3 linked regions of the Arabidopsis thaliana genome follow. The protein of the gene in region 2 purifies or fractionates together with the protein of the main gene of each other region. This does not show direct contact. Each region holds a gene or a part of one and is shown on either strand. Other genes may lie near its edges.

Region 1 (9,136 bases), on a different chromosome or scaffold from region 2:
AGACAAAATCTCAACCACAAGAAAGAGCCATGAGAAGTACTGCGGCTCGTTCCTCTTCCCCAAGTTTCCTCCATAGCCTCTTCTTCTCCACAGCCGATCTCTTCATCGCCGGTACCTTAAACCCAAAATCCAAAAATCTACCAACCCTTTTCACGTTCTTCTTGTTATTATTGCTGCTACTGGAATTCTCAGGATCTCTCTTGATTTTGTTCTTGACATTTCCTGGTTCACCTTTGGCAATCTTGACAATTCCCGGTTCACATTTGGCAATCTTAACATTAACTGGTTCGCCTTTTCCGGTCTTGACATTTCGGCTCTCAAGACCAAGATTGTTATTACTTTTGCTCTTGATTTTAATATCATCTTGTCTAATTCCAAGAGCTGCTTGTCTCTTCTTTCTGCTCTTGATACCACACGCATTGCACAATGACTGCAAACAAAGTCAATCCATGATCAGACCAGAGAACAAATAGTGAACAATCATCAAACAGATCTAAAATTAAAGAGACATAACCATCTCTTAGTAAAAAAGGCATCATAAAAACAGTGTAACAATAATCTTAACCTGATCAATTAGTAATAAGGCTTCAAACACAGAATCAAAACAAAACATAGAGATCACATAACAAATTTAAATATCAACCACAGATTGACACAAACCTCGCATACCTAGACTATGTATACACATGATCACATCAATGAGACAAAACCCACTAGCAACAGAGCTAAGCACACAAGATCAACCTACATTTTAAGTGGATTCAAGTACCTATTTGACTAGATCTAACACATGAGACCTTAAAGCTTGGATTTTTAAGGGTTTAAAAGAAAATGGTAGAGAGAGATCATGATCCTTACTTTAGGGCCAGCAGGTCCACCACGCCAAAGAGGAGTCCTGCTTGTTCCGCAATCAACGCATGTCTTCTTCGTATCACCTCCACTTCCACTGCTACTACAGTTCCCGTTGTCTACATCGGACGAATCTCCCGCCGATTCGAGCTTCGTCGTCTTGGTTTCTTCCGTCATTGACATCTACAAAAGAAAAAGACAATTATTAAACGTGATCATCAACTACAAGTAAGAGAAGGATCAAAAACGATCATGGAAACTCACATTGATCCACTTCGAAGCGAGATAGGATTGAGAAGAATAGAAAACTCTGAAACAGAAGAAAGGAGAGTAACGGAAATGGCAGAGAAGGATCAAAGAGCTCTTCTTCTGCTTGAATGGCTCTCTGTGAAGTTTAGAGTGAAGATGATGATGATAAGGAAGAGAGAGAGACGCCGCAGAAGAATAACGGATAAAACAAACGGAGAGGGTTTTTATAATAAAGGAGGAGGCGGGGACTAATAAACCCTAGATTTCTCTTTCTTAATTACTTTTTTACCCTCGAGCGCGGTGTTTTATTACTATAGAACCACCCGCCAAAAAATAAAACAACCACAAACTGAAAAAAGAAGAGGGAAAATCATTTTACAACAACAACTTGTAACAAAGATCTTGTGGAAGGGGGTTTTTTGGTATCTTGCTTGCTTTGGTACCAAATTTGAAATTTTAATTCAAAACCTGGCGCACGAAATACATTGGATTTACTCGTTGTGGTTGTTTGCCACGTTAGATTTCCCTAATTGGGCTTAGAGATATGCATGCATTTTTTACCAGTCTTTTAGATATTTTGTGTAATTCTTCACAATGAAATACGAAAAATTTATGTAATAATATTAGGTATATCGAAGACATGCTCGTGTAGTGCAACTTTTTTTGTATGAAAATTACAAAACATCTCTCTTTTTGGTCAATTTCATCTTATTTAAATTTGTGTAATCGACTTATGAATATTTGAGTTCTTTTGGGTCCAAGGCATACCTACGCTTATAAACGACAGGGATTGAACAAAACATAGGATTTTTTTATTATTGAAACCCTCCCTACTTGAAGTTGACGATAACCATTAATAACATCGATTAATGGAAATATGTTGAAACTAGATACGCGTGCATATGTAGACAATAGCCCAAAATGACTTGGACCGCACTAAAATAGATTATAAAAAAAAACATTTACTATAAACAATAAAGAGACGAACCAATTGGGCTTTTATGTCACCAATAAGACCAAATAAAGTTTGACCAACTTTTTTATGTTTGACTTTGCAGTGTTGTGTAGTACAAATGTAACAAAAACCCAGAGAGACACATTCTCATCAGATCACACTTTAAAAACTTATAAACCCTTTCCCAAAAATAAATATCCCTTGATGACTCCTACCCAACTCCCCCCCAACAAGCTTATTCCATGACTCAAACCCACCAACCACTGGATCTGACCGGACCAGGCCAGACTAAGTAAGGCACCCCATCTGACTTTTACACAGAAGACCAGACTCTCTAATCATACCCTTTTTAACCAGTGCCCCCAAACTCTTTAAGCTCCTTCGACTCTTCAAATCGTCATGTTCAGCTCCTGTGGAAGCAAAACCAGACTCACAGATTCACACAAGGTAGACACACAGGCAGATTTACTCTGTTTGCTAGTCTAGCCTTAGATGCTTAGATAAATTAGTCCCAAGTAGTGAGGTTTTTTTACCTTCACTGGAAGTTGAATCCACCTGGTGGTACGGCTGCATCATTACCTCCTCCAAACTGGAAGCCTTGTGCAGAGGGATCACCAGGTGGTAAAGTTTCATCTTCCTCTTCCAACCAGTACGTTTCAAGAATCTTCACTGCCTTCTCATAGATTTCGCTGTTGTCATGACTCTGCAGATTCTCAATCTTTTCTAATCCCTCAGCATCATCGATCAGCTGTGCATAAAAGTTTACATCCCCGGTATTTCCTGTGACCTTTTCAGCTTCCCCAACTTTCAAAATGTTCTCCAATCCTTCCAGACACACAGTGATAATCCTTGGATCAGGGCACACCAAAAGATCACACAGTGGTTTCACGACTCCCTGTTCCACCATGTACCTAAAACACACAACGGAATAACTTAATTGACTGTTTGAAAAATAACCAACAAAGATTCTAAAGGAGTTGAGATCAACAGAACATGGAGTTTATATCGGATAATCTTACTTGATTTGGTCAGGAGAACCACCTGAAGTGGCATTTGATATTGCCCACGCAGCTTCTTTCTTTATATCAAACTCCGCATTTTGAAGCAGATTGACAAGAGGGCAAATCAAACCAGCTTCACACACAGCCTGCAATACCACAACAATATTAGAGAACATAAACACACAGAACATCTTTCTTCAAACAACAAAAAGGCTTCTGAAACATGTCTTCCAACATTAGTGATTAGTTTATGAGAAACTGATAAGCTGAGCAGAAACAACAATCTTTAGCAAAAGTTCACCTGAATCTGGTCCCTGTTTCCAGCAGTGATATTTGAGATTGTCCAGCAAGCTTCCTTTTTGATGCTCTTCTTATGATTGTGAGTCAGAAGGCTCAAAAGGCTAAGAAGTGCACCATGACTAATTACACACTGTAGAACCAACCAAAAAAGAAAGCAAAATAAGTGAGGAATGGTACATGTGTGAGATTCTTAAGAGTATTATACATACTGCCTTAAATTAGTCTAACTATTCAAAAGGAATGTTAGGTATTGCATAACTAGGGTAAAAAACATGCAGGGGGGGAAATAAAATCTGGGAAGAATTGACAGTTCCCATTCTAGAGATTCATCTAGGAAGAATTTGACAAGTAACTTTTGACAACTAAATGTCATTATCAACAAACTCAGATTCAGCTTTCTAGCCAGTGTATTTCATTCTTCCCATCAGTATTGGACCATGTATCCTGAATAATATGAATGAATGACACTATAAAAGAACAAACATACCTGTGTCTGCAGATCATCTCCAGTGACAATGTTACCAATACTACGAAGGGCAGGAATAAGCACAGATGGTGATTGATGCCTACAGCAAAATAAAATTGATAATATTCATTAACACATAACATTCATTATACAAAAGCACGGTGAAATCATGGGATTTGAAACTCACTGGAGAAGCTCGACGAGTCGAGGAACAACACCTGCCTCAATGACAGATTGGATTTTGTCATTTGTGCCATCGGAAAGGTAAGAGAGAGCCCAACATGCATCCGTTAACACTTCCTCATCAGTCGAATGAATCAGGCGTTCAAGGGCTGGGAGTGCTGGACGGACCTGTTATTAAGAGATCACAAGAATTAAAAAGAAAAACTCCTTCATCTTTGGGCAGAGATTAAGATAGGAATGAGAGACAAACCTGGTCAAAGGGAGGCTGTGGCTTGCCCCTGCAGAAATTAGAGAGGGTCCAAGTAGCATTTCTCAGCATCGAGAGTTTAGCATGCTCATTCAACTGAGAGAGTAATGGTATCAAAGCTCCTTGACCAAGGACAAGATCTCTGCACCGTGGAGAATCACCAGCAACATTCCCTAATGCCCACACAGCCTTACACATGAAAAGATTAAGAAACAAACAAGCTTTAGAACATGCTTGTTCCCGAAAACAAACAAAATTGACAGTATATTGAGTCATGAGAAAAAACCATAAACACATATCTTACCTGCTCACGGACATCATCACTCTGAGAAGCCAATAGTTGAACAAAAATCGGAACAGCACCATGTTCAATGACCACCTTTGTATTCTCTGAAGTCCCAGAAGCAATGTTTGTCAATGCCCAAGCAGCCTCAAACTGAAATCACACACACACACACAAGTAATTAGTATCAGAAGACAATTCTAGCAAAATATGACAGATACATAACGATCCACCAAACCTGAAGCTGTGGATAATCCTCTCTAGTGAGAAATTCCACAAACCGAGGCACAACACCAGCATCAATCACTTCTTCAATCGGAGGACTACGCTCAATAGAAAGCAATTTCCGGAACTGAGTAGTCGCTTCAAGCTGTAAACTTCTATCATCTGACCAAACACCACCAACCATAGCAGGCAAACTCTCCAACTAGCCAAAACCAAAACCAAAATCAAAATCGAATCGATCTAAACCAATCAAATCCTAGGAAACGGTTCCAGATCGCTAGTAATATTACCTTCTTCTCAACAGTTGATGAAGCAGGAACAGGAGAAGGAGCGAATTGAGGTAGCTGATTAGCTTGAAGGCCTTCACGACGCTTCTTCTGTAAGCTTTCTTCACGCTTACTCTTACGGATCTCGACCATGTTGTCCTCTCTCCTCCGTCTTCCTTCCTCAGCATCCACCGCCACTTTGTAGCGGTTCCGGCGAACCTCAGTCTTAGCGTTAGGTCTCAAAGACATGGTGGCTAATACGAATCTCCTCTTGCTTCGTGGCGGTGAATGAAAAATGAGCCAACGAGAGTGGAGACGATGTATGTATATATATGAAAAGTGTATGTATAGAATCGGCGGATTGGTAGAGGATGATAAACCCTAAATGAAGTAGAGGGGAACGAGAAAAGAGGAAAAAAGGCACAGAGAGAAAGATTGAATTTCGTTGGTTTACAAAAACATTTTGGTAAATCTAAATTTTAAGATTCGATACAGAGACCATTAATTTACTTAAGTTGACTTGTTTATTCATTAGTCTTTTCGCACCGACTAAATTTAATTTAAAATAAAATACAGTTTTTTTTTTGGCAAAACTTGGTTTTGTGAAAGTAATTTTAAAAGTATATTATATTCGTTTAAGAAAGTTTAGAGTAGAGAACTTCGCATTTGAGTTTGACGTTGAGGAAGACGTATGAGCAATGCTCATATATTGGGGTAGATTCGTCTGTTGGAGCCATAACGATTGCAAGTACCTCTGGTAGCATTATCTAGGAGGTGAAAATCTGTTATTCTCTCTCCGTTCTTATCTGATGAAAGCTAATAACAGATTTTCACCTCAACTTTCATGGTATCAGGTCTTTCCCACAGACTATAATGAATTTTAATTTAAATGAAAAAATCGTCAGAAAAAAATACTTATGTTTTTTTAATCAAACATCTGGCTTTGTGAAATGGTGCATACGAATTTAAAAGTGTACTCGTTATAAATAAACACAATCATCATTACTTAAGACGGCTCAGCCAAGTTTGGAACTTTAAAGAGAAGGTTTTTTTAAGAAGTATACACATATATGTACGGCTGAGACATCTGATCTCTGAGGTCTTTTTAATGTCTCTTTAAAGTTAAGACTCCAGGAAAAATAATAACATGGTGATGGAGGTTGGCTTTTAGCGGAGATCGAGGACTTCATATTTGAGTTTGGCATTGAGGAAGACGTGTGAGCAATGCTCGTAGATTGGGTTACCGTCTTCTGATTCTTCGTGTGGGTGGAAGCCTCGTTGCTGGCAGTTTCGGATCACAGATACGCCTGATGGATCAGAGAGATGGAATATTCCATGAGGTGTTGATTCGTCTGTTGGTGCCATTACGATTGCCACCGCCTCCGGTAGCATTATCTGGGACAATAGATATAGATGATGGTTTTACTATAATCGCATCATAAGTGATTAACATAGAGATATTGATAAGGGGAGTTTGTTACCTGATACGAGTAGTGTGTGTGTAGATCAACTGATGACATGAAGCAAGTTTGTGTAGGGTGTGTCTGAAACCAAAATGTAAATTAGCAAGACGAATCGATAAAGCTTATCAACTAGTGGATATATGGATTCACAATTGTTCTGAGTAACGTTTTGGTAAGTCATTATCTGGAAATGGAAGATTTTTTAGTTCGGGTGAGAGAACTTACATGAATCCAACCCAAGGGAAATAGAGAGAGTCTGTCCTGTACTCGAATATTTCTTCTCGTTTAGTGTTTGGCACTGTACATTACCCAAATGATGATGAACCTAAGTGTGAGAAGCATACCAGCGAGAATTAAAAAGATTGTTATTGATGTAAATGGTTAAGAAAAATGAAGAACATACAGAATCTGAGGTAGACTCCTGCTTTGGGATTATGAGAGTAGTGATATGAAAAACCCTGTTTTTCTGTAAACATGGCAAATAGACAGAATATAAGTAATGGCGAGCTGATCATGATATTGGAATCAAAAATTATAAATGCAAAGGTTCCATCTACTCACCAGAGAACCAGCAAGTACTCCACAAGTTTCTAAATTCCGTTCTGTGTTTGACCGAGCTAGCCTTAGGAAATCATCCATTATGCGCACAGGCTTCAGCAAATTTAAATAAAGGGTGACAACATTAGTAGTAGATTAAGAAGAGGTGAAAGAGAAAGATTTCCAGAACCGATTCTAGCAAGCTTTTAAGAAGCTGTAATGGTCATGAATCCAATACTTCGATGATTTAATGTGTTGATTCTTGAACACATACCAAATAATTAGACTAATCATGGATAATTTTCTACTTGATATGCATATCCCTTCCACTTTACTCTCACAAACACTATGGAATTGGTGGAAACTGCACAAAAGTGAAAGAAGATACAGCTGGAACATACCACATGCAAATGCTGATAAGAATTGCTGCCCTCTTTTCCTTCTAGGGAAGGAATTGCAGGTCCTGGTCTAGGATCAGCTACTTTAGATGGGCAAATTTGGGCTAACTCTTGATGCACTTGAGCAAGCACGGGAGGAGGGGAAGGTTGCTTCATACCGACAAACTGAAACGGGTCTTCAGTTGCGTCGCTAATAAACTGGGAATTTACTGCCTCAGAATGACGCTGCCATCGACCATCATCTAAGGAGAGCACAGAGTTCAGTGTTGAGACTTCTTGAGAATCACCATTAAGTGATGCTGAGGAACTGCTAGGTCCAGCTTCAATTAAACTGCAGAAATACATGGAGTCAGTTTGAAATAGCCATGACTTCTTTAAGGAAAAGCTTAGAAGGTAACAGAAGATGAGTACTTACCCTGAATTGTCCGCAGAACCCCAATCTGTATTACTCGGATATTGAACCTATCATTCCATACAAAATAAAGATTTTTCTCAGTTCCTTCAGATCTAAGATAATTAAACATTGAATTGGACCAAGAGTAAAAGAAAGAGTGAGAAAATGTGAGAAAGGTAACAATGATCAGCACTATACCTTTATCTCTGACTTGGGTGCAACCATTTGCCTTTTAAGACCATTCGGACCTAGAAATGAATGTCTTGACAAGGTTGCTTGGTTTGGAGGCAGGAAATCAAAAGATCTGCAGGTTCAGGAGCACAATTAAAGTCTCAATGATCATCCCAGATTAATATGGAGTAGCACTTGAGTCTCATAGACTCATTTCTTGTTTCAATATCCCAAAACCAAAGAAGAATTCCACAAAACGCAACCAATAAACATGATACCATAAATAGAAAATCCAAGCAGCATTGGCAGTTTAGTCCATCAGAATGGTAGTTTTTCTGGTAATAACTAATAAGTGACCCAAACATCGTATATATATGGTGATCACAGAAACAGGTAGATGTAAAGCAAGAAAACCAGTGACACATATCGGATGGCATACCCCTATTTCTCAGGGTTCCTAAAGCTCAGAGAGCTTATAGTGTTTGAATTCCTATTAAGCAGAATTACCGACAATTATATTAAGGGAGAATACTCACAGCTTCTGGAACTGCTGATCAATCTGTGTACGATTTGATGATGAAGTCAGATTATTGTTATACGTCCAGGATGGTTGAGATGTCGGTAAGGGCTGCATCCAGAGAAGACAAAAAAAATGGAAAAGGCATTGCTGGTAAGAAATCACATGGATTTTGAAGATGCAATGATTATATAGAAATCCTAGATTATGTACTCAATGCAAACTCCAAGTCTTACCTTGTTAATATCAGGTCTGGAGTATGAAGCTTTGTGAGCAGGAGGCCACTCAACAGCATCTGAACTATATGATACGACCGGGAGATCACTTCCATCCTGACGGGATTCATCCTCAACTCTGTTCAGCTTATCCACTAGCTGGTTGAATTCCGGTTTCAGAGACTCGAGCTCATTGATTACAGCACGCAACCTCTGTAGCACAAAAAAAAGACCAAATCTGAGGACACTACTAAGTCTAGTAACACTAAACAACATTCGAAGGTTAAAACAGAAATACCTGACCTTCCTACTCCCAAGTCTTTCTTGTGGAAGCGATGCCTGGTAATCTCGATGGAAAGGAATTGTTTCAGAAATCAAACTGCAGAAAAAAAAAAAACTTGTAGCTCTTTCATGGAA
Region 2 (8,564 bases):
TCCCCAAAACCATCCAAAAGAAGACACTAAAATGTTTTCAAGTGTACAATGTTAAAACCTTCGAGTGAATTGTCAATAAACTAAGGAGCTCTCGAATACAAGAACTTCAAATATGAAATTTGGTTCAGACACAAAGATCATCACCTGTCCATGGTGAATTTGAACTAATAAGAGAAGTTCTGGCCGAGCAATTTCTGGCTCACAACCCAGTAAGATCTCTTCAGCTTTCTCATATTCTGGTATCGCCTAAAACCTCCTAGCAGTTAAAATCACTAAGATGATAATTATTCTAAGATACATCAGAGTACCCTCAGCTCAAGCGTACCTTTTGAGATTGGCCCAATCGTTGAAACATAAGACCAAGTATAAAATGGGCATGAGCATTTTTGGGCATCTTCCTTGCAACATGAATCAAACCCTATAAGCAGAGAAGGAAAATCAGAATTTATATAGAGCATCATCATCATGAAAATTAGACCAATAATCAACTGCGAAGAGCATTATGAATATAAGAGGACCATCATCATTCTTTCTCCAAATGTTTAACGATGAATGCATTCTTGGCAACTTTATGAAATCCTAGCCCCAATATGACCAAGCACACTTTCTACGATACTATGAGTCAATAAACTCACCATTTTGAGGTTACTGATTTTTTCTTCCCGGGATGCAGGGACCCCTTGATTAGCCAGATCACCATCTGCATCAACTCCACAATCAGAGGAAGACTCAATCTTACTTCTGGAGCGGCATTTTCCCACCTTGCTGATCTTTTTGGCTTCTACTTCTCCTGGTTCCACCTCCTTGCATGTTAATATACCTCCCTCTTGATGACTTTCCTCGTTACTCAACCTAAAACACACAAAAATGTATTTAAGTTAAGAATCATGAAGCTTCTCCTATCCCCCAAAGCAGTAAGAATCAAACTCTACTTATCAAAAAAAAAATTCCCCATTTTTAGACTCTTGCTGAAAGATATCCAAAGTCTCGATTTTTAGATTTTGCGGCATAAGAAGACATCAATATATTCAACCCCGTAACAAAAATGTCACTTCAAACATATGTTTCTTCCGAACAGAGGAAAAAAAAATCTCAGCAAAAGAAAGTTAGTCGAAAGCAACAGAAAGAAATAGGTTAATTAGCTGAAACACACACAACTACGTATGTAGAAGTACCTAGTGATGGGAGGAGGAGTAGGGATTGGAATGGATGAGTCAAGATCATCAGTCTCAGGAGGATTGAAATTAAGGTCAGCTAAAACTACAAGCTTTAGAGGTCGAGAAGGAGAGTCAACGGTCATGGGTTCGCATTTGACGGCGATCGTCTCCGGGCGGTCCATTGATGGTGCTGAGTACGCCGGACAGTAAAGTTGAGCAGAAGAAGAAAGAATCAAAACAAATATAAAAACGAGGATAAAGCTGTTTGGCAACGAGTATTGGTCTATCCTTTTGTTTGCTCTATCCCGGAACCGGAGTCATAATTATCTCACCGACCGAACAAATATATTTTTATTTATCTTTTTATAATTTAATTACCATATTTTCTATATTTATAAATAATTTTCATAAAATATCACAAGAGTAATAAGTTAACACAAATTAACCATGCTAATAACTTATTTTCAATGTAACAAAAATCCATCAGAAATTAGAACACACTAAAAGATATCAGTACAAAGACAAAACACAACAACCAGACAGAAACACATGAACATATAAACATCTCATGTTTATCTACTAACTGAATCCATACATATATGTAGATAGTGAGGAAAGTATCGTAAGCACAAACACAAGAAACTGATAAGAGAACCACTAATCACTGAGTTGCAGAAATCCCAAACTCGGGAAGGATCCAACCATTGTCCATGGCATGACTAGCATACAGCTCAAACTTCTCTTTCGCGTTCGGTATATCAAGCGACAAGTCATCGAGGCTGTCGTTAACACGACCAAACCCTTTCGTCATTTGGTTAGTTGTAATCAATCCTTCACCAAAACACTCCTCAAGCAGATTCAGTAACCGATCATTCTGCTTCTCCATTGCCATCACCAAAGCTTTCTTCACTACTTCGTGGTTGAAAAAAGGCATCCCTAGATCGCGGATACATTGACAAGCTTCTGATGTTACTCCTCCTGTTTCGTATTCTTCTAGGAGTTTCGAGATTTTGTCCTTTGCATCTTCCACTATCCAGCCGGTTCCACCTCCCCAGCTTCTTAGGAGTCTCTCTCCTGCGTGTCTGGCGGAGATAAGAGACCTGGCTGAGCGGACTGTTTCGGTTCCGGTTGATTTTGGAGGCAGCTTGGTTGAGATATCTTCAAGGTTAAGTGGAGCTAAGACGTCGTCAATCACAGCTCTAGCTAAAAACAGAGCAAGTTCGTTTGATGCGTCCATGATATCTAAAGCTGTGTCTTCTGCCGATTCCAGGAGCATAATGAAACCGTTTATGAAATCTTCAGTTGAGAATAGCTCCATGTGAAGAGCAGAAAGAAGAACCGAAGCCATTTCCTTTTCTCTGTTTTTCCTGTCTAGAGCAAGAGTTATGAGCCTCTTCAGAAACACCGGGTTATATTCAGGTGCCCCTAAATCTTGAAGACTGCGGATTAGCTCAGGAATGTCATCTGATAAGAAATATTCCTGAATTATGTTCACTGTATCCTTCTTGTACTGTCTTAGCTTTCCGTCTTGACTCGATTTTTCTCCATCTTGATCAGAGGTTATCTTAAATGAATCATCGAGCCAGCCTCCAGAAATAGCCTTTGGAACTATCGAATCAAACAGCTTTTTGGCAGATGGGATATCTAGAGCAAGGTCATCGAGACTCTCTGCTACTCGGAAGAATCCCTTCACCATTTGACTCGAACTGATCAGTCCTTCTTCAGCAGTTTCCTTCAACAGCTTTAGTACAAGTGACTCAGCGGTTGGAGAATCCATCGCCAGAACCAAAGCCCTCTTCACAACCTCATGATGGAAAAACGAGACACCTAATTCCCTGATGCATCTACAAGCTTCGTAAGTGTCTCCGTTTTCCACGTATTCCTTCAAGATTTCAGATATCTTTTTCTTCGTTTCTTCTACTGTAGTGTGAGTACTACCTCCCCATTTCTTCTCCACTAGTTCTGCATGGTGAGGAGCTGAGAGATAGCTCTTTTCTGCAGTTACAATAACCTGAAACCCTTTGCAAGATTCTGGAAGAATCTTCTTAGATCTAACCAGAAAAACCGGAGGGAGAATTTCGTCAACGATGGCCCGTGCAATAAACAATGCAAGGACATTAACAGCATCAAGGATGTCCACCGCAAGGTCATCAACAGATCTGAGAAGTCTTATAAATCCATCCCTAATTTGATCAGGTAAAATAACATCAGCATACAATGCAGAGAGTAGCACTGAAGCCATTTCCTTCTCCTTATCGTGTCTGTCCATGGCCATAGAAACAAGTCGCTTGGTGAAGTAAGGATGATATTCGCTTGAACCAAGTTCCCTGAGGTCAGATGCCGCCACTTTCACATCCCCGGTGCTAAAGTATTCGTCAATGATGGAAACTACTGACTTTTTGTAATCATTCAACGGGTCTGATACCGGTGAATCAACAAGTCCATCATATGCGTCCTGTTAAATTGAGTATATGAATGAAAAAAGCAAACTACTAATAAAAGATAAAATCAAGGGATGTTAGATACACTAAAGAAACAAGGAAAAGTATCCAACACAAAACAAAAGGCGCAAATATGAAAGTACCTCTCCACTATCGTAATTGGGATCATTCTTATCAATACAGGAGTCACCATCATCAGTGTCAAGAAGCTTTCCCCAAGTTCCTTTGCCACCAGCACCCTCTGCAGATATCATTGCCACATAAGTAAACCATATATCACCTACACACTTGAACTCTTCTACTGAAAACTTAAGTCTTTTCACTAAAGCAAATTTGAAAGGAACTAATAAAGAGTCATATCACTCCCTAAAAGGATCTATTAGCCAAATAACAAGCACAAAAGGTTGAAGAAAGTTTAATACCCTTCTTAACACGAATATGCTTCCCTGAGTGAGTACGTCGCACATGCCTATTAGGAATCCCAGCAACTGGTCCTTTGCCACCAGTGGGAGACTTAATGTTCAGATCAGCAAAGAGAGTATGAGATTTAGGCGATGATGACAAACTTCCAGAATTATGAGTTGCTATTTCAAGCTTTTTCCACTGTCCATCCGTCAAAATTCCCTCACCCGATGCCATCTACAACATTAAAACGACCATTAACTCATAAATCAAATACAGAAATAACCTCATAATCACTCGAACCAACCAAAAAAACTCTTCCTTTTTCCCCAAACTCCTAATAACGATCAGTAAGAACATGAGAAATTTGTATCCCAACGAAATTTCTTCCCATTCAATGATAAAACAAAGAACATGAAACCCATAAACACTGTGAATCATAAGAACACACACACAGTGATATTTTCCACGATTTCTAAACGAGAGACCTTAAAACACTCCAAAAATTCGATTAAGTAAACAAAACATCACAAAGAAGTATGTATACAACTATACAAAACAAAATCTAACCTGTCATACCTGTGATCGCAGGAATCAAATTCCAAATCGTGAAACAAAGTCGTCTTCTTTACTGCTTGGCTCGGATCTCGAGCCAAGACAGAAAAGATAAGGAATCGGATCTCCAGCACCGGAGAAAAACGACCGGAGAGTATCAAAGTAGATAACGATCAATTTATCACTACAAGAGAGTCGCAAAGATTCAAAAGTCACCGATTCCCAGACAACGACGAGAGAGGAAATGGATGAGGATCGCCAATAAAAGTACTACTTTACAACAATATAATAAAGTTTTGTGCATTTGTTTATATACGATGGTACACGTCATCAACGTAATACGTGGAGGGCTTAGAATATTTCCTTCTTTTTTTAATTTAGCCTCCAATTTTTTTAAAGATTTTAATCCAAAACAATGGGCTGTATTGGGTAGGTTCGGCCCATTGAATTAGATATTTTGGGCTGGACAATATCCAATGGTTGACTACGTTAATAAAAGTTTTATGCTTCATGGAATCATATTATTAGATCATGGCCATCATGTTTATAGTTTTAAAACAGATATGGATATTGTATTTTATATTTTTCAAATTATTATGACTAAATTATATCAATATTCATTTTAAATTGTTATTTTAGTGAACGTACTATGTGTATAAAAAAAACAAAAAAATTATAACACTGATAAATGAGTAGAGAAGAAGTTAGCAAGTAGTTTTCAAGCAAAAACCGGTCACATGCCCTTTTGTCTCTATTTTCTGATCCGACGGTTTTCTTTATATCTACCACCTTAAATCCAATCTAACGACTCTATTTCTTTATAGAAAGGTCAATTCTCTACATTTTTTCTTGTTTTTTTTTCACAAGACAATGTCATGAAACTTGAATTGATTTCGTATAGAAGACAAAAAAAACTTGTAAAGTTGAGCATTTGTTCAAAACATTAATTTGTTAAGTTTGCTTATCCAAATGATCAAGTTTCAGTTTGATAAGCCAATGTAGTCAATAATTAAAATGGTTGAATTAGATATTATCATACTCTATATTTAGTTACTTATTCAAATGCGTTCAATTATTTTTGTATTCTATGAATCATGTAAAAAGTAGTGAAAAATGTATATAGATTAGCTTTTGAGCGTTGAGAATATTCTGAAAAAGGAACATTAATGTCGATCGGTTCTCGTGTTTCATCACGTACGAGAACGAAATCATTTACTAATCGAATGAATGTCCAAAACTGTCTAAAATGTAGTGAGAAATGTCATTTAATTGTTTTCTGCAGTTTATGTACCAGAATACACAATTTGCTTAATGTATAAAATAATTTGCTACTAACAGTAATTTAAAAAAAAAAAACTAGACTTAAACTCATGATCCATATTTTTGCCCGAAGTGAAAATTCATCAACATGAATGGCTCTAGCAAAAAGAAAAATGTCGGCGAGACTTGTAATCGAATAGTTGATTAAGTTTTTAAAGACATTGTTCTTTTTAAAGTGTGGAGGAGGAGGAGGATATAGAGTGATGATGCAAATACTTCCCATGTGCATTGATTGTCAACACATTTTGTACCAGCCAAAATTTCAACATAGGGTCTGATTGTTAGATATGAATGAATACACTACTATTCTAAAAACGTTATATGAATTTAAGAAAATTATATGTGTAGAATTTATTGAAAGATTGGACTCGAGCACATGGTTCGGTGGTCCCAAAATCAAACCTCTATGGGCCAGTGTCGGCTCAGTTCTCCTATTCTATTGCTTTTGGTGGGTCTATTCTTTTCTCTTTTCCTGCAAGCAATATCTCTTTGAGACACCAAAAGAAATTCATTTTGTATAAAGATAATAATAATAACAAACACTCTAAAACCAACTTATCAAACAATTCAAAGTGTATCAAATATCGTATTCTTACAATTACAATCCATATACGTTTAGTTATCAAAATATGGTTTAGTAGATAGCAGAAACACTAAAGTATCTCGAAATGTAATACTTTACTATATGAGCTTTAACAAAAAAAAAAAAAAAGGAAAAAAAAAAAATCAGTTAAATTGAGCTAACTGCTATGCTATTGATAATATTCAACCGTTAAAACGTAAAAGTAATGATAAAGGTACAAAAATTAAACCGTAATATTAAATATTAGTACTAAAGTACATTACTAACACAGTGTTGACTTTTGGTGCACCGTACTTAGTGTTTCACCAACATTCAGCTTTAAGTTCGTTGAGATTTTAATTACGAGTTCTGTGTTTTTTTTCTTTAAGCCACGTGACTCATTCCTAGCGTTACCTGAATGTTGAATACAGTATTAAGTGCTATCGGTTTGATAATCTTAATTATTAGAACTGTTGAGCCAATTATATTTGTAATGATGGCTGATATTACTCCTTCCGTTTTTAAATCATAACCAGCTCCGTTTAGCTTGATCAGAATTACATTTCTGAACAACACTTTTTAGTTCAGCCAAACACTTTTTATCAGGTATCATGAAATTTGAATCTTAGGAAACATTTTGCATTATTTCTTCTTCTCTAAAATGACTTGGGTTGATTCCATTCTCACACACCAAAATAATTTCACAAGAAGAGGAAAAAGGTTAAGCAAGGTGGGTCCAATTAACGTCAAGTTGCATGCGCAATAAATCACCCGAAGTGTTCATATGCTATATAGTCTATCGCTTTGCTTTGTCTTTCTCTCTTCACTCATATGTTTCGTCCCAATTCTCTTTTAATACCTTCAAATTTATCAACAACAAAAAGCCAAAGAAACACAATGCTAAATTCTTCATATCTATCCTTCGCACTTATCTTTTTCTGCTGCATTTTGTTCTCCGCTCTCGCTTCGTCTTTGCCCGTTTCCGACCCTGAGCTTGTTGTCGAGGAAGTACACAGGTATATGTTCTAACAAAAATGTAAAAGCATTTTACATACACTCAAATAGTCAAATGTTTGGTATTAGATATTGCTTCCAAGTTCTTTCTATCCAAGGCTAATTTTGATCTTGATCACAAACTCACTTGTTACTATTGCTGCATTAATAGCTATGACTTATGAGTACGCCTAATTACGTACGTCAAGATTAATTAATGCTAATATATTGTCTGTTGGTTAATGCATTAGAAAAATAAACGAGTCCATATCAAGAAGGAAGCTAGGGTTCTTCTCGTGCGGGAGTGGTAATCCAATCGATGATTGTTGGCGATGCGACAAGGATTGGGAGAAAAACCGAAAACGGTTAGCAGACTGTGGTATCGGTTTTGGCAAGAACGCTATTGGCGGTCGTGATGGTGAAATCTATGTGGTCACGGATCCAGGAAACGATGATCCAGTAAACCCTAGACCGGGAACACTAAGATACGCAGTCATTCAAGATGAACCGCTATGGATCATTTTTAAGCGAGACATGACGATCCAACTAAAAGAAGAACTCATCATGAATTCTTTCAAAACCCTAGACGGACGAGGAGCCTCCGTACACATCTCCGGTGGGCCATGTATAACCATACAATATGTAACCAACATCATCATCCATGGTTTACACATACATGACTGCAAGCAAGGTGGGAATACTTACGTACGTGACTCACCAGAGCATTACGGATATAGAACGGTATCCGACGGTGACGGTGTGTCAATATTCGGTGGAAGCCACGTGTGGGTTGATCATTGCTCGCTATCGAATTGCAACGACGGGTTAATTGATGCAATTCGTGGATCAACGGCTATAACGATCTCGAACAATTATTTGACGCATCATAATAAGGTTATGTTATTGGGACACAGTGATACGTACGAACAAGACAAGAACATGCAAGTCACTATCGCTTTTAACCATTTTGGAGAAGGCCTCGTCCAAAGAATGCCAAGGTATTTTATCAAAACAGAATTTTTTATTTAGTATACCTATATTTGTGGATATATGTGTCACCAACTATAAAAGTCAAGTATATTGTCGGTTGGACATATTCTTAAAATAAAATAACAAAGCCAAGATACAATTACT
Region 3 (7,406 bases), 4.2 Mb from region 2:
TAGATGTCCAAATAATCCCTAAACTAACTTATTATCCAGAAAAAGAGCCAAAAAATTACTCGTCAAAACTCCAGAGTGACACGTCACCCACTCCGTCAAAGTCGTTATGATTCCAGCCAACTTCCGGCGGCGGCAAAAGCATCCCCTCCGCCATATTCTCAAAAAAGTTGGGCATCCCCAAAAGCGCCTCATCATCCATATAAAACACACCACCATTCTGCTCCTCCGCCCTCCTCTCCCCCTCCCTCACCCCCTCCCCTGCCGCCTCCTCTGCCTCCGCCGCAGTTTTAGATCCCTCCGTCGTAGTCTCATTCTGAAACGCCATTGCAGCTTCAGACGCAGCTTTCTGAATCTCCTTAGGACAAGTAGTCTCAGGAATACGAAGCCGCCAAGCAGAATCAGCGAAATTGAGACAAGCAGAGCGACCACGAAGAGCTAAAGCAGCAACATCATGAGCACGAGCAGCCATTTCAACCGTCGGAAAAGTACCTAACCAAATCCTAGATTTCTTATTAGGCTCTCTAACTTCACAAACCCATTTACCAGAATTCCTCTGACGAACTCCTCTGTAAATCGGATGACGTGTCTCACGAAACTTCTTCCTCCCAGCTCGTTTCTTTGGACAACTTGAAGCTAACTTTGGTGAACACTCACTACTGTCTGAAACCGGAGATCTATGATCGGAGATTGAGAGAAACGAGTCTGGGAATGTAGAGTAAAATGGATTCATTTTTTCTTTGGATAAGATGTTTTATTTCTCTTTCTATCTTTTTATGTTTTCAGGTGTTGGAACTTTTGGAGATATTTTTATTACAGAAAGTGAAGAAGTGTTGTGTTTTTATTTTATAAGAAAAGTGAGAAACACGGAGGATCTGGTAACGACAAGTGTCCCACGGTATGTGACTTACACGTGTCCTTCTGAATCACTTTACTTCGTCTAAGTGTATTGTGTACTGTGGCTGGTTCCGATTCGATGGTTCAGTTTTGATATTTATTATTTTATTGAATTTAAGTATGGTGTTCGGAGAAAGGGGACGATTTAGAAAAAGACAAAACAGTCTTTAGTTTTAAAAAGTGATAAAGATACGTTGAGGATGACGTCATGGGAACACGTTTTTGACAGTTGGAGTGTAAACTGCTCTCTGTGGTTCGAAAGGTGAGCCACGTTTGAAGGGACGGGTTCGTCCGCTGTCTAGCCACGGTTTGGGGTTTCGCTTTTTGTAATCTGACCCACGCGCTTTTAGCTTTTGGTGTGGGTCCCTTTTCTTATTCATTATTTTTGGCAATTGTTTGGATTATATTTATTTCTGTGTTTTATTATTGGAAATCCATTGGATTATTCTATGAACTTCTTCTAACTATTATCATCATCAGCCTTACCAAAAAACAAAAGTATTATCATCATCAACTAAGCCAAAGATGGATACGTGGCCAAGGCGGATTGTGTATTTTTTTCATTATGTACCCAAAATACATTGAACCAGTAGTTTAAAGACAATCCAGTCTTGTTGAACCAGTCGAGTTTTTTATTCTTTAATACAACAAAAAAAAAATCAATCAAAATGGAGTTGTCTTCATTCGATTCGGTTTCAAAAATAATTAGACCCTTTCGCATAATTTTATAAATGAATATTTGATTTTATAATCAGCAAGGCCAAGGAGATTTCAAGAATTTGAGTAACTTTTTTACTAAACGTCTAAACCTTTCAACTAAAACCAAACACAACATCAATTAGACGACGAGCTTTAACACAGAAAACTTTTAAAACCCAAAACAATGTACTAGACTCCATGAACGATGGAGCCAAAGCTTTTACATCAACTTTGTACATTCAATTAAAGACCAAGTAAAGCCCTGAGACAACAAAGGTGCAAAGCCTTTGGTCCCATGTAAGATGTTTTTTTTTCACTATAACAAATAATTGTGTTGGGATCTTCCATATAAGGAACTGGAACTTTGGTTCTCTCACACCTGAAAGTCCACATCATCACATCGGACGTTGTTGTTGTTGTTCTCATCATCCTCTTCAAACCAATTCGTCACCAGAATCTTATAAGCCTTCTCGTAGATATCATCGTTTTTGTTCATTTGCAGCTTCGAAATCTTTTCTAGCCCTTCCGCATCTTCAATCAGTAGACAATAAGGGTTCACGTCTTCACTGTTCTTTTCAGCCTCTCCGGCCTTCAACATGTTTTCCAATCCATCCAGACACTTTAAGATGGTGGTTCTTTCATCTGAATATACTAGGATATCACATAATTGTTTTATGCAACTCTGCTCCGCCATGTATCTGAATCACACCAATGGAGAATTGTGAGACTTGATGATCTATAATAAGTACATTAAAGTTGAAAAAAGAAACAAGACAGGGACGTTACTTGATTTGATCATGAGAACCATTTAAGGCCATATTTGAAATTGCCCATACAGCTTCTTTCTTCATGTAGAAGTCAGTATCTTGAGCAAGATTGACCAAGATTGGAATCAAATTTGCATCAATAACTGACTGTAATCACCAGGGGAAAAAGAAAAACAAATTAGTGATAGCAAAAGACAAAAATGGTAAATTTTCATTGGGGATAATAGCAACAAAAGTTTCTCACCTGAATTTGTTCTTTAGTCCCTGCAGTGATGTTTGAAATCACCCAGCAAGCACACTTCTTTATTTTGTTCTCGTGGTTTCGAGTAAGCATGTTGGAAATAATGGGTAAAGCACCACTATTGATCACACACTGAAGAATAAGTTCAAAGAGGTGTATAACAAAGCATTTTGTTGTTTGGTTACAAAATCCAAAAGGTGGACAACGTAAGTTGAATATGAAATACATACCTGTGTCTGCTGATGATTTCCAGCAGTCATAGCCCCAATGGTAAGAAGTGCAGGAACAAGCACCACTGGAGAAGGGAGTCTGCAAAAGAAAAAAAACTGTCAGCCTTTCCTTATCCAAACATGTCACAAAAGGGTTAAATACATATTCTGAGAAGTACTAACTGGAGAATTTGAACTAGTTTTGGGACAAAACCAGCCTCAATCACACTTTGGATTCCATCTTCTGAACCCTCAGACAGATGACATAGTGCCATGCAAGCATTTTTCAAGACATCTTCATCATGTGAATGAAGAAGTATTTCAAGCGCAGGAAGAGCAGGTTTCACCTGTTGAATCATGCTTCATATGTTAAAAAGTATACAAAACAGAGGAAACAGAGACAGAGAGAGAAGTAAGAAGACCTGATCGAAAGCCGGGTGAGGCTTGCCACGACACAAGTTACGCAAAGCCCAAGTAGCAATTCTGAGTGTAGTATCCTTATACAGAAGACGCAACAGTGGCATCAATACCCCAGAGTTAAGAACAAAGTCACGGTAATGTATCGAATGACCAGCAACATTACTCAGTGTCCATATAGCCTGCAAGAATAATGTCAAAACTCATATCTGTGAGTCTGTGACAAGTATTCTCATATCTACACGTAGTAAAATACTTACCTGCTCACGAACATAATCTTTAGGAGAAGCAATAAGCTGAATTAATACTGGAACAGCGTTGTTATTAACTACCACGCCCGGATTGTCAACAGCAATGTTTGTTAGAGCCCAAGCTACCTCATACTATAAAAACAAAGATCACTGAATATATCGTAATCAAAGGTTACACTGATCATCATCATAAAATATCAACTAACTTGAAGCTTGGGGAAAACTTGATTTTTAAGCAACTGAACGAGACGCGGTACAACTCCAGATCGTATCACACAAGATATATCTCCTGGAAAGATATTAGAGTAAATGATAAAAGACGAATCTTTCAAACCGAGATCAAGAAAAAGTAAAGAAAGTAAAAAACAGAGGAAGTTTTTACTCTGTGATGTAATACGTCTGATCTTGGTAACGGATTCAAGTTGTAATGGAGGATCATCTGACCAAAGACCATCGATTATATCATCTGAAACTTCGTTCACCTACAATCCAAACCCTAAAAACCTCACTAGTCCAACACAAAATCAACCAGAGAGTGATTACTTGTGAGATAGTTTTAAACGGACCTCTGTTTTCCAAGCCATGGCTTTTCTCTCTTCTTTTCGACCTCTCCAAAGCAATTTAGAAAACTTAAAGACTAAACCCTAGAAATCTCAACTTGAAATGTGAGAGAGGCAAAGATTTTGCAATCAAGCAAGAATGCAAACAAAAATGGTGAAGCAGAATTTTAACGAAGCGTAAAAAAACGGGTTTTTCAGTTATCGTTTCTTTCTTGATTTTATTTTAACCGTCTGATCAAAAAATCCAGTCGCTACTTAACCGTCTACTCTAAACCGATCAAAATAAAAATTTGATTTGAATCCGGTTTACTCCAACCCAAAATTTCAATTCGACAAACCACAATACCACAAAATCTTGGTTTATGTAAGAACTTGAATTCTCAAAGCCTTTGACCACATGAATGCACAAAATCTTGGCTTATGTAAGAATGGTTTTACATTTGATTTCAATTACATCGACCAAAGCTCCTATGAACTCTATTCGTAAACCAATTAACAACACTTAGAAATGCAACTCAATTCACCATGAATCAGAAAAGCTCATCATCACTATCATCATCACTACTATCACTCAACACAAAGTCTCCTTCATCCTCCACCCATTCATCTTCCGAAAACGCCGATACATTAAACCTCCCAAACCCATCACTCTCCACCGTCATCTCCGCCTTCTCATCCTCATCATACGACAACGAAAACAACTCATCATTACCACCAAATCCCACCTCATCCTCCTCAAACCTTGGTCTCTTCCCCGGAATCAAATCCTTCTCACCAATCTCTCCCTTCTCAACACCACTCCAAGGCACCCACAAATCAGCATGCCTTCCCAATGCTCTATCCATATCACTAACAACCAAAGTCCCAAGATCAGCCTCTCTAGCTTTCCTCAACATATCAGAAAAATCCTTATCATCCGACACCAAAACCAACCAATCAATCCCTCTAGTCATTGAATGTTGTATCTGTCTCTTAACCGCCCAATCCGCAGCCTGAGGCTTATCCTCAACCGTCTTAACATAAACCCCTGCTCGACGTAGCTCAGCCTCTAAACCATATCCAACTTTAGGAGTCAACAAACTCCTCGCAGCCTCATTATACTTCTCATTCCCTGAAACATAACGCTCCTTAAACTTCTGACGTTTCTTACCTTTCAAAGATCTCATCCTATTAACTTTCTTCTGTCTCTCCCTCTCATGAAGCTGCTTGAAATGTTTCTTCAAATCAAGATTGGTTTTACACTTGCGACCACAAACACCACAAATGTACGGATCAATTGGAGTCACTTCTCCTTTCCTCTCCATGAAATCAAGGTTCCTCCTTTCTCGTCTCTCTTCGACGACCCAATGAGGTAAATGGATAAAAGCATGACGATTTGCGTAAGCGGAGATTTCGACGACTCGGCCGAGTTTCTCAGCGACTTTACGGAGAGCTGTTGCGGCTTCGTATGGTGGACCTCGTGGTGGTTTGTTGTCTAAGTCCCATAAGACTACAACTTTCTTCTCCTTTGGTGCAAAGATACCTTCTTTGTTTCTTACCATATCGATTTCTGATGAAGATGCTGATTTCAGACATGATTCGATCCGCCATTGGTGACGAAGTGGGAAGCTTGTGAATTTAGGGTTTTGGAATTTGGAATTGGAGAAGGTAAAGAAGTGAGATTTGTGTGAAAGGAATGGTTTTGGATAAAGGGTTTCGATTGAATTACAGAACAAACTCATTGGAAGCTTCGAATTGCCACTGAAACTAGCGTAGGTGATCGGTGGCTTCGGAGAGATTCGGTAATTGTAGTGGACGTGAATCAGAGATTGTCTCTCTGGGTAAGTTTGGGTGTGGATTGTTATCTTCTAGCATGTCCGGCGAGGAAGACGACGGCTATGTGGATAGTCTGAGCTAACAAAAGTTTATCCTTTTGCTTTTGTTGTTTGAGAGCCTCTTGTACACTCGGAGGGTCTTGACGAGAGAGACTTTACCTTTGTTTTTTACTTTCTAACTGTTTCACTAACTCAAGTTGATCCAGGGATATGAAATATGCTAAAGACACATGAGACACAATGCATAAGGATGGGTGAGAATATATTGGACATGATGGTATTTCAATTTGAAATTATAAGGATGGGTGAGAATATATAAAAAGATGAGTGATTAAAACCATATAAAATGTGAGGTATGCAAAAAAAAATATAAGGACACGAAACTGGTAAAAAAGCTTTTGAGGTATCTTTATGCACAAAAGGTTGTCATGACATGAATGTAGTACTTGACACATATAACGTCGAGTTTGGAGAAGTAATTGACATCTTTCAAGCTCATGAGATAAATTTTGAACTCCTAAAGGTTAGAGAATCCTAAGACAGTAGATCTAGTAGTATATATGGTAAAAAAGAATCAGAGAGAAGCGGAAGCCATTGAAAACCTATACAAAGGTTAACAAGAAAAATGATCTATGTTGTTTTGTTTCTAGTCAAACATGATATAAATGTAACATGTTCATTCTTCTCTATGTAGTAGTATTCGTTGGATATTCATAGGATGATAAAGATGTGTGTGTGTGGTCTGATGGTTAAGTTCCAAAAAATCTTCTCTTGGAAGTTATTATATCGTAGTTTATCTTTCTAAAATTTAAGTTTGCCGTTGACAAAAAAAAAAAGTTTCCTACCATTTTTTCCCATGAGAAGCTGTTGTTTTTTTTGGGGTCAGAAAACACAAACCATTAGACTGTGTTGTATCTTCAGATTTTAAGTTATATAAAATTGGAGGCCTTTCCACAAACAAATTATTTTGCTTCTAGATACTTCTTATATTTGTTCTTAAAAAGATTGTTCTTTTTCTAGAAGCACCATAATCAGTTGACCAAAAATAAAGCAGAAAAACAATTCTTATATCTTCGATATGTATCTATTTTTCCCTCATATAAACCATATTTATATAAAAATGGAAAAATTCAAATTCAAACTCATTATGTTTCAAAAATATTAATATATCATATTAATAACCTATTTGACTTTCCATAACAGCGACCCAAAAAGAAAAAAAAAAAGGGGGAAAATCTCATTCGACCGGAAAACAATAAAAAAGAGAGCAGCTTCAATGGATTCATTTATAACTCCAAAGATTATCTCCTTCATGATTCTCCGGCGAATCATCTTCCATCGTCGGATGTATCATCATTCTCGGTGGACTCATCAACATCCCTTCAGCCATCTCCGTCAACAAAGTCGGCATATTCAACATCGCTTCCTCATCCATAAACTCCAACGAACACGAGTTACACGACACTTCTTCTAATTCTTCCTCTTTGCCGGGTTGAACCGGTTCCAATACCTTCTCATCCCCACCCTGATCCGGTTGCTTCATCTCCGCTGCTC

The links.
Region 1: the proteins of AT5G63190 (region 2) and IMPA-2 fractionate together in Arabidopsis thaliana (co-fractionation; one large-scale study listed by BioGRID). This does not show direct contact.
Region 3: the proteins of AT5G63190 (region 2) and IMPA-8 fractionate together in Arabidopsis thaliana (co-fractionation; one large-scale study listed by BioGRID). This does not show direct contact.

The regions. Positions count from the first base shown.
Region 1 is NC_003075.7:9,131,862-9,140,997, forward strand, and holds IMPA-2 (importin alpha), read right to left. Parts: upstream 5,555-9,136; 5' UTR 5,274-5,554; coding exon 5,049-5,273; intron 4,961-5,048; coding exon 4,772-4,960; intron 4,687-4,771; coding exon 4,555-4,686; intron 4,440-4,554; coding exon 4,254-4,439; intron 4,172-4,253; coding exon 4,008-4,171; intron 3,921-4,007; coding exon 3,842-3,920; intron 3,485-3,841; coding exon 3,356-3,484; intron 3,201-3,355; coding exon 3,073-3,200; intron 2,965-3,072; coding exon 2,589-2,964; 3' UTR 2,587-2,588; exon of another isoform or gene 2,464-2,586; 3' UTR 1,889-2,463; downstream 1-1,888. Other genes in the region: AT4G16141 (GATA type zinc finger transcription factor family protein), read right to left, coding at 11-430, 859-1,032.
Region 2 is NC_003076.8:25,341,818-25,350,381, reverse strand, and holds AT5G63190 (MA3 domain-containing protein), read right to left. Parts: upstream 4,841-8,564; 5' UTR 4,580-4,840; exon of another isoform or gene 4,571-4,579; intron 4,238-4,570; coding exon 4,021-4,237; intron 3,840-4,020; coding exon 3,742-3,839; intron 3,654-3,741; exon of another isoform or gene 3,613-3,653; coding exon 1,819-3,612; 3' UTR 1,582-1,818; downstream 1-1,581. Other genes in the region: AT5G63200 (tetratricopeptide repeat (TPR)-containing protein), read right to left, coding at 1-26, 145-246, 326-418, 636-852, 1,176-1,339; AT5G63180 (Pectin lyase-like superfamily protein), read left to right, coding at 7,269-7,453, 7,682-8,428. UniProt on the Arabidopsis thaliana protein: Involved in target of rapamycin (TOR)-regulated translation control, especially under energy-deficient conditions.
Region 3 is NC_003076.8:21,117,058-21,124,463, forward strand, and holds IMPA-8 (importin alpha), read right to left. Parts: upstream 4,063-7,406; coding exon 4,045-4,062; intron 3,961-4,044; coding exon 3,861-3,960; intron 3,768-3,860; coding exon 3,685-3,767; intron 3,611-3,684; coding exon 3,488-3,610; intron 3,410-3,487; coding exon 3,233-3,409; intron 3,158-3,232; coding exon 2,994-3,157; intron 2,911-2,993; coding exon 2,832-2,910; intron 2,734-2,831; coding exon 2,605-2,733; intron 2,508-2,604; coding exon 2,380-2,507; intron 2,292-2,379; coding exon 1,967-2,291; 3' UTR 1,889-1,966; downstream 1-1,888. Other genes in the region: CBF4 (C-repeat-binding factor 4), read right to left, coding at 56-730; AT5G52010 (C2H2-like zinc finger protein), read right to left, coding at 4,569-5,759; AT5G52020 (Integrase-type DNA-binding superfamily protein), read right to left, coding at 7,135-7,406.